2 linked regions of the Arabidopsis thaliana genome follow. The protein of the gene in region 2 interacts with the protein of the main gene of each other region in a pairwise test. Each region holds a gene or a part of one and is shown on either strand. Other genes may lie near its edges.

What was found.
Region 1: the proteins of SLAH3 (region 2) and CPK20 interact in a protein complementation assay, tested with the Arabidopsis thaliana proteins (one study listed by BioGRID).

What each region holds. Positions count from the first base shown.
Region 1 is NC_003071.7:16,244,397-16,249,874, forward strand, and holds CPK20 (calcium-dependent protein kinase 20), read right to left. Parts: upstream 3,460-5,478; 5' UTR 3,088-3,459; coding exon 2,223-3,087; intron 2,143-2,222; coding exon 1,999-2,142; intron 1,920-1,998; coding exon 1,767-1,919; intron 1,679-1,766; coding exon 1,563-1,678; intron 1,482-1,562; coding exon 1,314-1,481; intron 1,220-1,313; coding exon 995-1,219; intron 899-994; coding exon 818-898; 3' UTR 510-817; downstream 1-509. Other genes in the region: AT2G38905 (Low temperature and salt responsive protein family), read right to left, coding at 1-76; AT2G38920 (SPX (SYG1/Pho81/XPR1) domain-containing protein / zinc finger (C3HC4-type RING finger) protein-like protein), read right to left, coding at 4,024-4,129, 4,431-4,489, 4,590-4,727, 4,823-5,074, 5,170-5,414.
Region 2 is NC_003076.8:8,117,782-8,124,808, forward strand, and holds SLAH3 (SLAC1 homologue 3), read right to left. Parts: upstream 5,134-7,027; 5' UTR 4,847-5,133; intron 3,236-4,846; 5' UTR 3,213-3,235; coding exon 3,042-3,212; intron 2,933-3,041; coding exon 2,387-2,932; intron 2,201-2,386; coding exon 1,430-2,200; intron 1,341-1,429; coding exon 1,309-1,340; coding exon of another isoform or gene 1,305-1,308; exon of another isoform or gene 1,225-1,304; coding exon 837-1,224; 3' UTR 536-836; downstream 1-535. UniProt on the Arabidopsis thaliana protein: Slow, weak voltage-dependent S-type anion efflux channel involved in maintenance of anion homeostasis. Binds to the highly selective inward-rectifying potassium channel KAT1 and inhibits its activity.

The sequences.
Region 1 (5,478 bases), on a different chromosome or scaffold from region 2:
AACCATATCGAAGGAAAACGCCGACGGGAGGTAGAAGAATCGCCAGAATAATTTCCAAGAAAGTTTCTGATCCCATTTTTGATGTTTTGGAGAAGAAGAGAAACAGAAACAGAAACAAGAAAGAGAGGTTTTGTGGACAGAAGGGAAGTGGTGTGAAAGTTTGGTCAAGAAGTAAAAGAAGTGGTGTTTGACACGTGTACTGCTTGCAGTGTATCACGTGACACGTGGAGACGCTTTCGTAGCGATGAACACGTCAAACAAACTGCTTTACTTCAAAACTGCTTCCACTAATTCCACGGAAATCTCACAGATATTTTCAATTTCTCCTTTTTTGAGAGGCCAAGAAGATAACATTTTAATGTTTATGATTCGAATCTGTTTACTCCATCCCCTCTTTTCAAAGAATTTTTAGTTTTATTGTGAAAAGATTAATAATTTATCACTCACTAGATTTACATATTAAAATCGATATTGTGTAATAATTTACATAAACATTTTCAATAATTTCTAGAGTTTTACATTGACCTACTAAAAGTACATATAAGAAAAATGAAATTACAATCTTTGGTTATCTTCCAAAGTGAAACCTATACATTTTTTCTCCTAGTTGAGTAAAGGGAGAGTTAAAGGACATGACTCATGAGAAACTTAAATACAAAAAAAATGTGGAACAGAGAGGACAAAAACCTGCTCAAGAATGCTAATGCTAAGCAGTAAGCAGCCCATATACATATATCCACAAAGATTAAATTATACTTAAAAAGAGAAAAGAAAAAATAAGTGTTGGAAAAAATGGGGTCATTGAGGTTTTGTTTCTTCAACTCACCTTTAAACCCATTTTGCCAAAACCAGTGTCTTGCATCATATCCACAAACTCGCTGTAGTCTATTCTTCCATCCTGACAAAAACAATCATATAACATCATTATAAAGAACAATGTTCTTGCAAGTAACTATAGGTAAAGCATATCAATTGCATATTAATGAGTTGTTACGTTGTCTTTATCGACTTCGCGTAAAATGTCGTCTAAATGAACATCCGCTAAGCCAAATTGCTTGCAAGCTTGTTGGAGCTCGTCTCTGGTTATATAACCACTTCCATCTTGGTCAAAGTAAGAGAATGCTGTGAACAAATGGTCTTCTTTCTCTATTTTGTTCAAATGCACCATTGCTGCTATAAACTCTCCATAGTCTATTGTCCCACTGTTATCTATATCCGCCTGATCAAATGTTCATATTTTTCCAAATTATTATCTCACACATCTCACATCATATAGTAAACAAAAGGTGATTTCAGTATAAAAATGGACTTACTGCTTGCATTAATCCTAGTATTTCTGAATCTTTAAGGTCAGCACCAACTCTGTCCAAACCTTTCTTGAGTTCTTCGAGAGTGATGTGTCCACTATTATCTGTATCTATCATCTTGAACATTTCCTTCAATCCTGCTATTTCTTCCTCTGACAAGCTTTCTGCTATTACCTGAATCAAATACATCACGTATAACTCTCTATCTTGCACATAATTTGGTATAGATGATAGAAACCAATTCAAAATGTTTACCTTGATAGCTATTTTCTTGAGCTTGTTCATGGCTGAAAATTGTTGCAAACGACTTAGGACAGCAGAATCAAGAGGTTTATCAAGAGCAACACCATCTACTCTGGCCCATGGATGACCTAAAATATAAATTCAACATTTTACAAATCTTTATAGTACTTACTCTTATCAAAAAGATATAACTTATTTGGAAACAAGAACACTAACAGAGAACTTCATGAGTAGTCATTCGCTTCTTAGGGTCTCTGATTAGCATCCGACGGACCAAATCCTTGGCACTTTCTGATACACTAGGCCATGGTTCTGATATAAAATCAAGGTCACCTTTCAAAACCTGCTCAAAGATCCCCTGTTCCGTTTCTGACATATAAGCACAATCCAATCAGTCTCTTTATCACTTCAACATACCTGAAACAATGAATCAACAACTGTCTCTTACCATCCCAAAACGGAGGGACGCCACTTAGTAAAATGTAAATAATAACTCCGGCACTCCAAACATCACATTCATGACTATAATGTTTCCTTAAAACTTCTGGTGCCACATAATAAGGACTACCAACGACATCAGTGAATGTTTCTCCTGTAATCACCAACATATATAGTCAAGATCATATTGTATATGGGATCTGTTAAAAGTAGCATTGGGGACATATACTATACCTGGTTTAAAGAAAACAGAGAGGCCAAAATCAATAGTCTTGAGAGCAGCTTCTTCATCTCCACTAACAAATAAAAAATTCTCAGGCTTAAGATCACGGTGCATTACACCTAAAGAATGACAAGCTTCTATAACACCAACAATGATCCTAGCAAGCTCAGCAGCTTTTTTCTCAGTATAATGCCCTCTCTGTATAATCCTATCAAATAACTCTCCACCTGCACAAATCTCCATCACAACATGAACAGCTACTGCATCTTCATACGCACCAACGATCTGAATCACGTTTGGATGACCAGACAAATGATGCATTATCTGAATCTCTCTTCTCACATCTTCAACATCCTCAGGTGTTGTTAATTTCCTCTTAGCTATCGTTTTACAAGCGAACTCTTTACCTGTCTTCTTATCCACGCAAAGAAACGTTGTTCCAAATTGTCCTTGACCTAATTTTCTCCCAACACTGTATATATCTTTGAGATTCTCTGTTTTTCTCCCAAGAACTGAGTCTATTTGTAGACCTGCGCTTGCCATACGTTTCATGTGCGCTTCTTTCTTCTGCGGTTTCGAATTCGGATCTTCTTTGTTCTCTGTGATAGGTTTTGGTGGTGGTTCTTCGTTGGCCATTTTCACCGGAGGTGGTGGTGTGCTCGGTGTTGGCAACGTGGATGGTGCTGGATCCACGGTGGAGGAAACGTGACCGTTACTGTCGTCGCCATTAACGCTTTTATCGTTCTTTTTTCGACTGCTCTCGTCCTTGCTGCTCTTAATGCTATCGTCTGGTTTCTGATTCCGCCACACGGCAGCACTAACGGATTGAAGGAATCCATTAGGGTTCAGATTCGGACCCACGCATGTGTTTCCCATTCAAAAAATTTAACCTAAAATCACAAAACCTAATTTTGCTTCTTTTTTTTTCTTCTCTCTGTTTGAGATTATCTATTACTTCTCCGACAATGAAAACACGAACCACTCATTAGCGTCATCAACGTGAATGATGAATCCATATAGAATATTGCCGTGTCTTCAAAATCGACACAGCTCGGTGAAAACCTGAGATAATGAATTGACCACCTAAGTCGCTCGCAAGCAACCTTGTTCTGCACGTTTTCCGGATACAAAATGGTCGAGAAACGTCTTGGAATTGTAAAATGTGGCTAAATGATTTGATTCGGAGAAGATCTGATGAGCTGATGATCAGAGGAGGGGAAGAAGGAACGAGAGAGAACAAGGAAAGGACTATGCCATTGCCGTCCATTTTTACGAGAAAATATGGAAAGTTTTTTTACAGAGCCCAATTTTAGACTAGGACTCACTTTTATCAAAAACAATTTCTTTTTGTCTTTTAATTTTTAACAATTAATTAATTTTTTTGAAAAAATATATAACGTTGAGTGATTATATTGTAGGGAATTAACTGCGAAGGATTTAGTTAATAAATATTTTGATTGAAGAAAATATACAATAAGAAGAAATTTTGTTTATCTAAAGTAAAATTCTGAAACTTGTGATGTATATAGACATGAACTGATGAACGTGTGTAATCTATTGACTTGTCTTTTAAACAATTAATAAGGAACAACATCCAATAACATCTTAAACAACACAAAAAAGTATTTAAACACAACTCGATTTATGTCTCACCAAAGAAAAAAAATAAAATAAACCTCTCCTAATTATGATTCTCTCTCGAATCTGTAATGTCTCGGGCACGGCAGAAACAAATAAAAGTAATATATCTTTTTTTTTGTCATCACCTTTTGTTTAGATGAAGTTAATAATTGAACTTGAAGAGATACACCATTAATAACCGATCATATGCTTCGTCTGTTCATTCCAAAACATCTTCGACTGCTTCACCATCTCAGACCGTTCATTCATCATCCTCTCCTTCCAATATTCTTTGCTTCTACAAAAAAATATATTATGCTTTCATCATATGACATTAATAATTCTTGCAATATAAATACAGTTTGAACAATATATACCACCCCAAGAATATATTCAGATGTTTATGAAAGGCTCACTCATAACGACTTCAAAACTTAAAAAAAAAATTAAGAACAAAAATTCGATCGCAACTTCATTTTCTAGTTACTTAACGAATGAAAACACCATCTTGCTATATGAATGATAATAATCATCAGTTCAAATTTTATGGACACATCTATACTGATTTGGTGCAATCTAAAATTTGAGACTTGTCTTACCGTGTCTTTAAAAGAAGATGCAGCTCGATCATGTGAACTGCTTCCGCGTAAACTCCAGCCTGATACCGCAAGGAATAAATCAAGATTGACCTCATTATAGATATTGGAAACAAAAGTTGAGAGAAGAACACGTTTAATGTTGCAAGAATCTAAACAAACCTCTCTGCAGATGGGACATTTTGAATGTCGGGGCGCTGCTTTAATGCCTTGGAAAATCAATACAGAAGCAGCCGAGCATGCACACGAGTTACAAAATATGTGACCGCACTTTAAAGCATAGGGATTGAATACCGTTTCCTGCCCAAATTTATCCACAACAAATTACTATTTTCACCTCCAGATATGCAAACTACATTTTATTTGTGAAAAAATGCAAAGAGATTTTTTATTACGAGGCAGATTGCACAAGTTAGATCATACTCCAGCTCTATTGAGTTAGGCAGCATGAGTTTTAGCACTGGTTGATCTTCGTTGAGATTTTCACAAGCGACACGGCCAAACGAATTCTTGAAGTTTCCAACATTATCTAGCCCAGAGTTGAGATAAAAGGCTCCAAGTTCTATGAGCCATGGTGAGTGCAAGAGCTCTATGCGCTCCGCTCGCATTTTCAACTTGAAATTCTTCCCATTCTCTGAGCTATGCACCTGAAAGCATTTTTAAGCAGTTTACTTTCTCACAACAAATGAAGTCACATCTTCTTATTTTAAAATGAATTATTATCTTTGCCATAATCTCTAACCTTGTCATATTTCTTGAGGATTTTACGGATAGCAATTGCATTCATGGTGATGTATTGAATCAAGATTTGGCCCTCTTGGACTAAAGCTTGTTTTTCGTCAGTGAAGCATCTGCGTAGGCGAATCATGTATCTCTGCATCCCAGTGGCTACATGAAGATGGAGAAGATGCCTCACTCTTGACCTGAAAAATCCCGCTATGTCAGTAGCTTCTTTCATCAGCTCCTCGAAGAACATCTGATCACACCCTGCATTGTAATTAACATCATCTTTTACATCAACCACCTAATCTCAAATAATTAAACAAAAAAC
Region 2 (7,027 bases):
ATTGAAATCTTTTGTACAGGAGCTAGAGATTTTTGAAGATTTTGTCTCTTTTGCTTTGAGAATTTAGATTTGTTCCTAGGACAATGTGGAATTCTACTGCTAGTTTGTTGCTGAGTTCAAGCTCTGATTCTTATGCCTTTTGTTCTTGAGGTTCTTGATTTCTGTTTCTGTAATCTGTTTATGTTAAAATTGAGAGTTTCCAATATATCTCAAGTTCTTATGTCAAATCGTTATGATGAGAACTTCAATAGCTTAGCTGATCTTATCAGAACTTTTCGCGAGTATGAATTCGGTAGCTACTGGTTTGGTGATGATTTTGCTGGCCCTTTTGTACTATGTAGGCTTGAGTACTAGTGCTGTCTAGCTTGGTATTATGCCATTTGATTCTCTACCTTCTTGATTTATCGATATGGCGGTGTCGATTAAGTTCCCGAAATAGAAATGATTATGTGATACTGAAGCTCTTAGAGGGCTTAGCTGATAGTAGAACCAACATGATCGCGTATCATAATTCTGATGCTATTTATACAGTGATAACCCCTCAAAACTTTTTATTTATTGGAACAAAACAAGTATACATGCTCTTTGAAGTATTATGATAACTGCTAACAGTTCTGGTTTAAGAGATACTGGGTCGTTTGGATTGGTTCACCATTGTAGACAACCCCTCCCGTTTACTTAATACTGCTTTAAACACATGATCATTAGAACCACAGCAACAATTACGTTACTAGGTTCCTCACTTGTGTCAGAGACACTGACAACAAACCAAAACCAAAACTTCGGATACGACTCTGTATTAGGGGTTATGAAAACTTTTTTCGTGATTCTCCAATTTATGATGAATCACTCTCTTGAGTTTTGCCGTTGCAAGCTTCTACATCATTACTCTGACTGCTGTCGGAGTCTGTGAATTTCAAGTAGTTCTCGATGTTCTCTGAGCTTACGTTTCTCAGTTGGTCAAGCCACCGGTGTTGGCTATTCTGTTTGGGTCTCGGACGGTTGCTGATGGCTATGGCGAGGTCATTGGGAAAAAGATCTCGGAGGACAAAGGCGTGGATAATGGTGGTCACGAGCAGTGCGAACACGACTAACGTTGCAATGGCACATAGGACCACACACATGATTTGAGTCATAGTGCTCTTAACCACTGTTGCGTACCTGATGGTAGCAATTGCAGCTCCGGTCATCGGAAAGGTGTACGCCCACCAGGACAGCGAAAATCTATGAGAAAAAAAAGTGTGAGAAAGTTGAGCTAGCGAATAACTAAAAATCAAACAGTAATAAAAGTAATTTTCTTAATCTTACTTGATTCCCCTGAAGAAATTGATCCGAACAGCCTATAAATCAAAGAAAGGGAAAATTTGTATTAGTAAATACTTTTCTGAAGAAGGAATATATATACAGCTAAGTTATATGTAAAACGTACCAATGAGAAATAGAGGAAAATGGCGATAAAGTAACAAACTTTGGAGCCATAATCGAAGGAGCCAGTGACCTTAGCCCAAGCCATGGAAGCAACACTTGGAGCCGCAACGAAGAGGAAGAAGACAGGATGAAGATCTTTAGGCAAAGTCTCGTTGGTCGGTAGCCTTTGGTAGAGAGTCACGAACAGAACCAAGTAATGAGCCATCCCAACAGCATAGAAGAATATAGGGCCTTCTCTAAGCCCCATGGACGCACCAAGCAAGGCCCCAACAAAGTTCCCAACGACCGAGAGATGGTTGGTCGGGTTGGCGACCCGGGAGAGCCGTCGTTGACCACCGGACATCCACTGACCGTAGATCTTAAGCTCAAGACAGATGAATGGAAACATGAGGAGGTACCAAAGGAAATGCGGCAAATCTGTAATTATGGAAGGTGGGACACCGAGGGCAAGGAAGAGTAAAGAAATGAAAGGAGCAAAGAAGAAGTTGATTCTGATTGGATGGTAGTATTCGCGGCGTACGGCTTCGAAGAAAAGGATGATCTTGAGGAGGTAGATGGTGGCGATAGTGAGGATCAAAGCCACTGAAATGAACCATAGACCCTGGTTGATCCAGAGGGGTACGTGGAGGAACTTGGTTGGCTCTGCAGTGGCTAGGGTTTTCCACATTATGGCTTGGCTGCTCACTCCTAGGCACATACCGAAGGTGGAAATGGGGTAACGGAGAAGAAACGGCCACTTTTTATCATTTGGTAGAACGATCTCTTCTTGAGGCTGCGACGTAGGAAAAACAAAAGAGAGTTATAATTGAAACATGTCACTCGTTAATAAAAGAGAGTTATAAAACGTGTCACTTCTGACTTCTAGTAATGATATATTTTCGCAAAAAGGTCATTAAAACAATTTACCACATGAATGCAATTCAAATGTAAAAGATACAAAAAAAACGTAGGTACGTACCCGTAGGGTCTCTAATTCAGGACCTTCTAAGGCGTCATAGTAACGGTCCACAGGCATGGCTTCATTGGTATTCAAATTTTGGTTATTCCGGTTTGGTGCCTCCGGTTCAACAGAAGCTGGTTTTCTTGTGAATTGTCTCTCAAGTTTCCCCGACCAAGTCTTGAACGAGTTGTACCTGTTGTCTTTAAGCTTGTTCGCAGCCTGATTTTGATTTTGATGATGACCACTCTGATGTTGTCGATGAAGATGATGATGATGATTATCATGGCTTTGACGACGATCATCATCACCATTACCGCTTTCTATGTAGAGAGATGAGACTTTGGTCATCGGCTGAGAGAGAAACTTGACGGATTTGCCAGTCGACCCACTGTTCTTGTGGTTTTCGGAAGACAAAGATGTTGTCGGGTCGGAGATCATGAGAACATTTGGTGAAGTTGGCATTGAAATTGATGGTTTTCTTTGATGAGTCCATGGTGTTGTCTCATTGTAGTTATGATGATGAGCTTCCATTGTGTCTATTGATCTTGATGTTTCTTGACCATTCTGTACATATAAATATATGTAACATAATTGTCTCGGAATTAGTTATATAATAAGTTTATAACCTAATTTTTGCGAGTGTGGAAAGTGATAAATAAAATATGTAACATACCAAAGTAGTCGTGGAGGCATGCGATGGATGAAAACGACTGATTGAGTGAGGAAAAGGATGACCATTCTCTTTGTAATTGTCAAAGCCAACCATTTCTTCTGTTGTGGCTTTTCTCAGTAAAGTTGGAAGCTCTTCTTCTACTTGTATCACATAGTTTGGTTTCTCCTCCATTTTTTTCTTCTTTTTAATTTCCTCTGTAACATCCAAATTGTTTACGTATTAATTGACACCTATAAAATTGAATTTTCTTTTTAATCTATAGTTAATTAATATTCTAACTTGACTTGTATCATTGATTCATCATTAACACAAAAGATTGATGAGTATAGCCCTTGAAGTCAATATATAATTTTTTTAGATTGTTGAAAGCATATGCGAAGGAAAACAAAATATATATTATTCACAGTAAAAGGACTTCTAGCGAGTTCTTGATTCATTAGAATTTTACCTATTCCCTTCGCAATTGCTCTATAACATGGTTTGGAAAATGAATTTGGGATTTATATTTTCTAAAATCATAAACTAATAAAATCTAGTGGTTTAATTAGGCCGATAATTAAATAAATCTGACCTAAATTCTCCACATTTAAACATCATACCTAATATACATTTTGCAAAGTCTAGTGGTGTTGCCACTAAGCTGGTTTCCCAGCTGTATAGAATTAGACTATACTTAGTCACTTACCCTATATTTATTGGAAAATGATGCATGTTATCGGCTAGAAAGAAAAAAGAAGGCCACTATTGTTTGTTTATCCAAAACAATTGCACTTAAAACCTATAAATACTAGTGTGCATTTGGGCGCCTTTGAGAATTCTCCTCAAATCAAACAACAATCATAAATAGAAAAACAAGAAAGCACAAAGAATAGAATAAATACAGTTTTCTCTATTTTTTTCGTTTTCGAATTTTAAGCTTTCCTTTTGGTTTCTGACTTTGAGTGGAGTAAATTCTTTGAATATTTGTTTAAGAGAAACTATAATTTTAGAAAACCAACAAAACTGTAATTTTAGAACTGCATTAATAAACCCTTTATTGCGATGTTCCACGTCAATGATCAAAGCTAAACCAATCTAAAACATCGCTGTTTCAAAAAGTCGTAGGTAAAATCAAGACTCCCATAATTAGGAAATTAAATATATAAAAAGCTAACTAAATTGGTTTTAATTAACGAAACAAAAACTCCTATTAACAACAGAAATAAAATTATATATATATATATATATTTCTTTTTCCTTTCTTTTTGGCTGTACAAGAAAAAAACTTTAGAAGAAAAAAACAAAATAGCAAAAGATCTTAAATGGATGGTGTGGTGCTATGTGCCCATCAACTCATCGGGTCCACTTCAAAGTTATGGCTCGACCGGCCAACAACGCTTATGAATATTTACGCGTTTAAACGCTATTGTTCATGTTCCATCGCTTGTGAAAACCGGTTTGAACATATAAAAATCACATACATGTACTAGTATTAGTAAACCAGGAATCTTTGTAAATTTTACATCACATTGGTTCACAGCTAAATTGGCATTTGGGGTTTAGTAAGGTAATTTTTGGTTTCTGGAATCAATTTGGGTTTAAGAAAGAAAGAACGAGGAGAAAAAAAAAAGAAAAGAAAAATCAATTAATAAATTTATTAGTTCGTAATAAGAACCCTAAGGTCATATAAAAGAAAATCAAGAATCGCATGTAGCCTATGCATGTTCTCAAGAAAGGATTCACAAAAATGTTGTTTGTGATGTAATGAACTTTGTTAACTACGAATCCAAAAACAAAAAAATGGAGAAATGGAATAAAACACTAACCTGACGATTTTGAAATTTTGCAGCCGTAGAAATCAGAAATGGTGTTTAAAATCTACAGATCTTCTCTTATTCTTGTAGAGATAAGAATTGTGTTTTGGTAGGGAAAGAAGCGAAGACGAATTAGGAGAAAATAGAAAAAAAGCGAGTTGGTTTGGGCGAAAACAAAACACGTCTTTGTACTATAAATAAGTGTTCACGTAAGTACAGTTACGGAAACATGATAGTGTATGTATTTGTTAAATGTATAGCTGTAATTCAAAGCTTTCAACGTGGCCGTCTTCTTGTTGATCAACTAGTCATGGTTCACGTCATTGACAATCTCAAGTAATTTTTTGTTCTTTTTATTATTTTTTGTCACAATTATTTAGTTTTTTTAAGCATTGGTCAATAGGTGGTGGACCACATTATACGAAACGGCCAAAAAACAAGGAAATTTTTAAAATATATTTATGAAAATGAAGTTAATATGGTATTTAACAAAGGGAAAAAACCCAAAAAAGATCTCAATTAATTTTTATTTGGACGTTTAATACCCAATTATTTTTTGTTGGAAGATAAATACACGAAATAATAAAATCGTACAATTTAATACACAAATAATTAATTGTTGTTATTTTCATACTCACGATCTCACAACAAAAATAAAATTGCAATTTATCCTTACCATCTCAATTAACTATTTTTTTTTTGATAATATGATATTAATTTTATAATTTTGAATAAAAATTAATTTTATTAATATTTTAGTTTATGATAATATGATATTAATTTTTATTGTGAGATCGTGAGTATGAAAATAACAACAATTACTTGTTTGTGTATTAAATTGCACGGTTTTATTACTTCGTGTATTTACTTTCCAACCAAAAACAATTGGGTATTAAACGTCCAAATAAAAATTAGTTGAAGTTTTTTTTGGGTTTTTTAACATTTAACAAATGCATAAAATATTATTTTGCAAAAGAAAAATAAATAAATAACTTTGAGTCTTGGTTTGTTTGATAATTTTTCTAATTTTTTTTCTTTGTTAAATATAATTACATAAATGATAAGCTTTTAAATCTTTTCATAATAAATATAACGTTTTTTTTTATCATATAAATGATGAGCTTTTTTGTTATTTATTCGTTTTTTGTTAATGTTTTAGAAATATAGTCAAGTTTTACTGGAAGGAAGAACAATACAATATGTTTGTTTGGGAGTAAATTCAGCTACGAAGTATATTTACCAATTACAATGCGACAAATAGATTTTAGATCCGCATGCACTTTTTTATAAACAGTTCTCCATATCCGTGTCTATCAGACATCTCCAAAAATTACTTAAGTGCAAAAAAGATAATTTGCATCATGCCACATAGAAAAAAGTTGACAATGGAGATGGACATAGCATGCAAAGTTAGTCATTATTGCAGCAATTTAACCAGCATGGATGCTTTAGATGGCGTATTATTGGGAGGCTACTTGAACTGAACCTACAGAAATAATTCCTACATAAGACTGATATCGCAAAGCAATGTACTTTAAGTTTTGGACTTTGGTTATCCAGTATCCAAAAATCTAATTTTTCGTTTTCACAAGGTAATGTATTTATTCCTAGAAATATGGTTTTACAATTTTGTTTTTACCACCTTATTGTTTTTCTATTCATAAATTCAAAAAATTTCACGTCTATTTCTCTTATATGGATTCTATCTTTTCATAACGTTTAAATTTTTGGAATCTGAGTTGGCGATGTTTTTGATATCTGTTTTTTTTTTTTTTTTTTTGGCTCGGGTATATAATATAATTAAAAATCATTTGCCAACAAGTTATCTATAACAGAATTATGGGCTAATTAATTAGGTGTATAGCCAAATTGTGGGATGGAAAAATACAACAAAACTGTTTTTAAGGAATCGAGTACACAAAACGAGTAATCCGCATTTTTTGGGGTAAATTACACAAAGAAATAGGAAAGAGGAAGAAACCAAGTTGGTTCACAAAACTTCTTCGCATAGATTGTGTCGTTAGGTACGTTTTTGGTTGATTGTTTGAATTAGGATTTTAGCTGTCACCGAATTGATTTTTCTTTATTTGTCCAGTTATATGAATATATTATATCTTAGTGAGTTAATCATAAATATAATAGTTTTTGGTTCCTGTCTACATGCGCTGTACATGAGTTTTGTCTTTAGAGCGG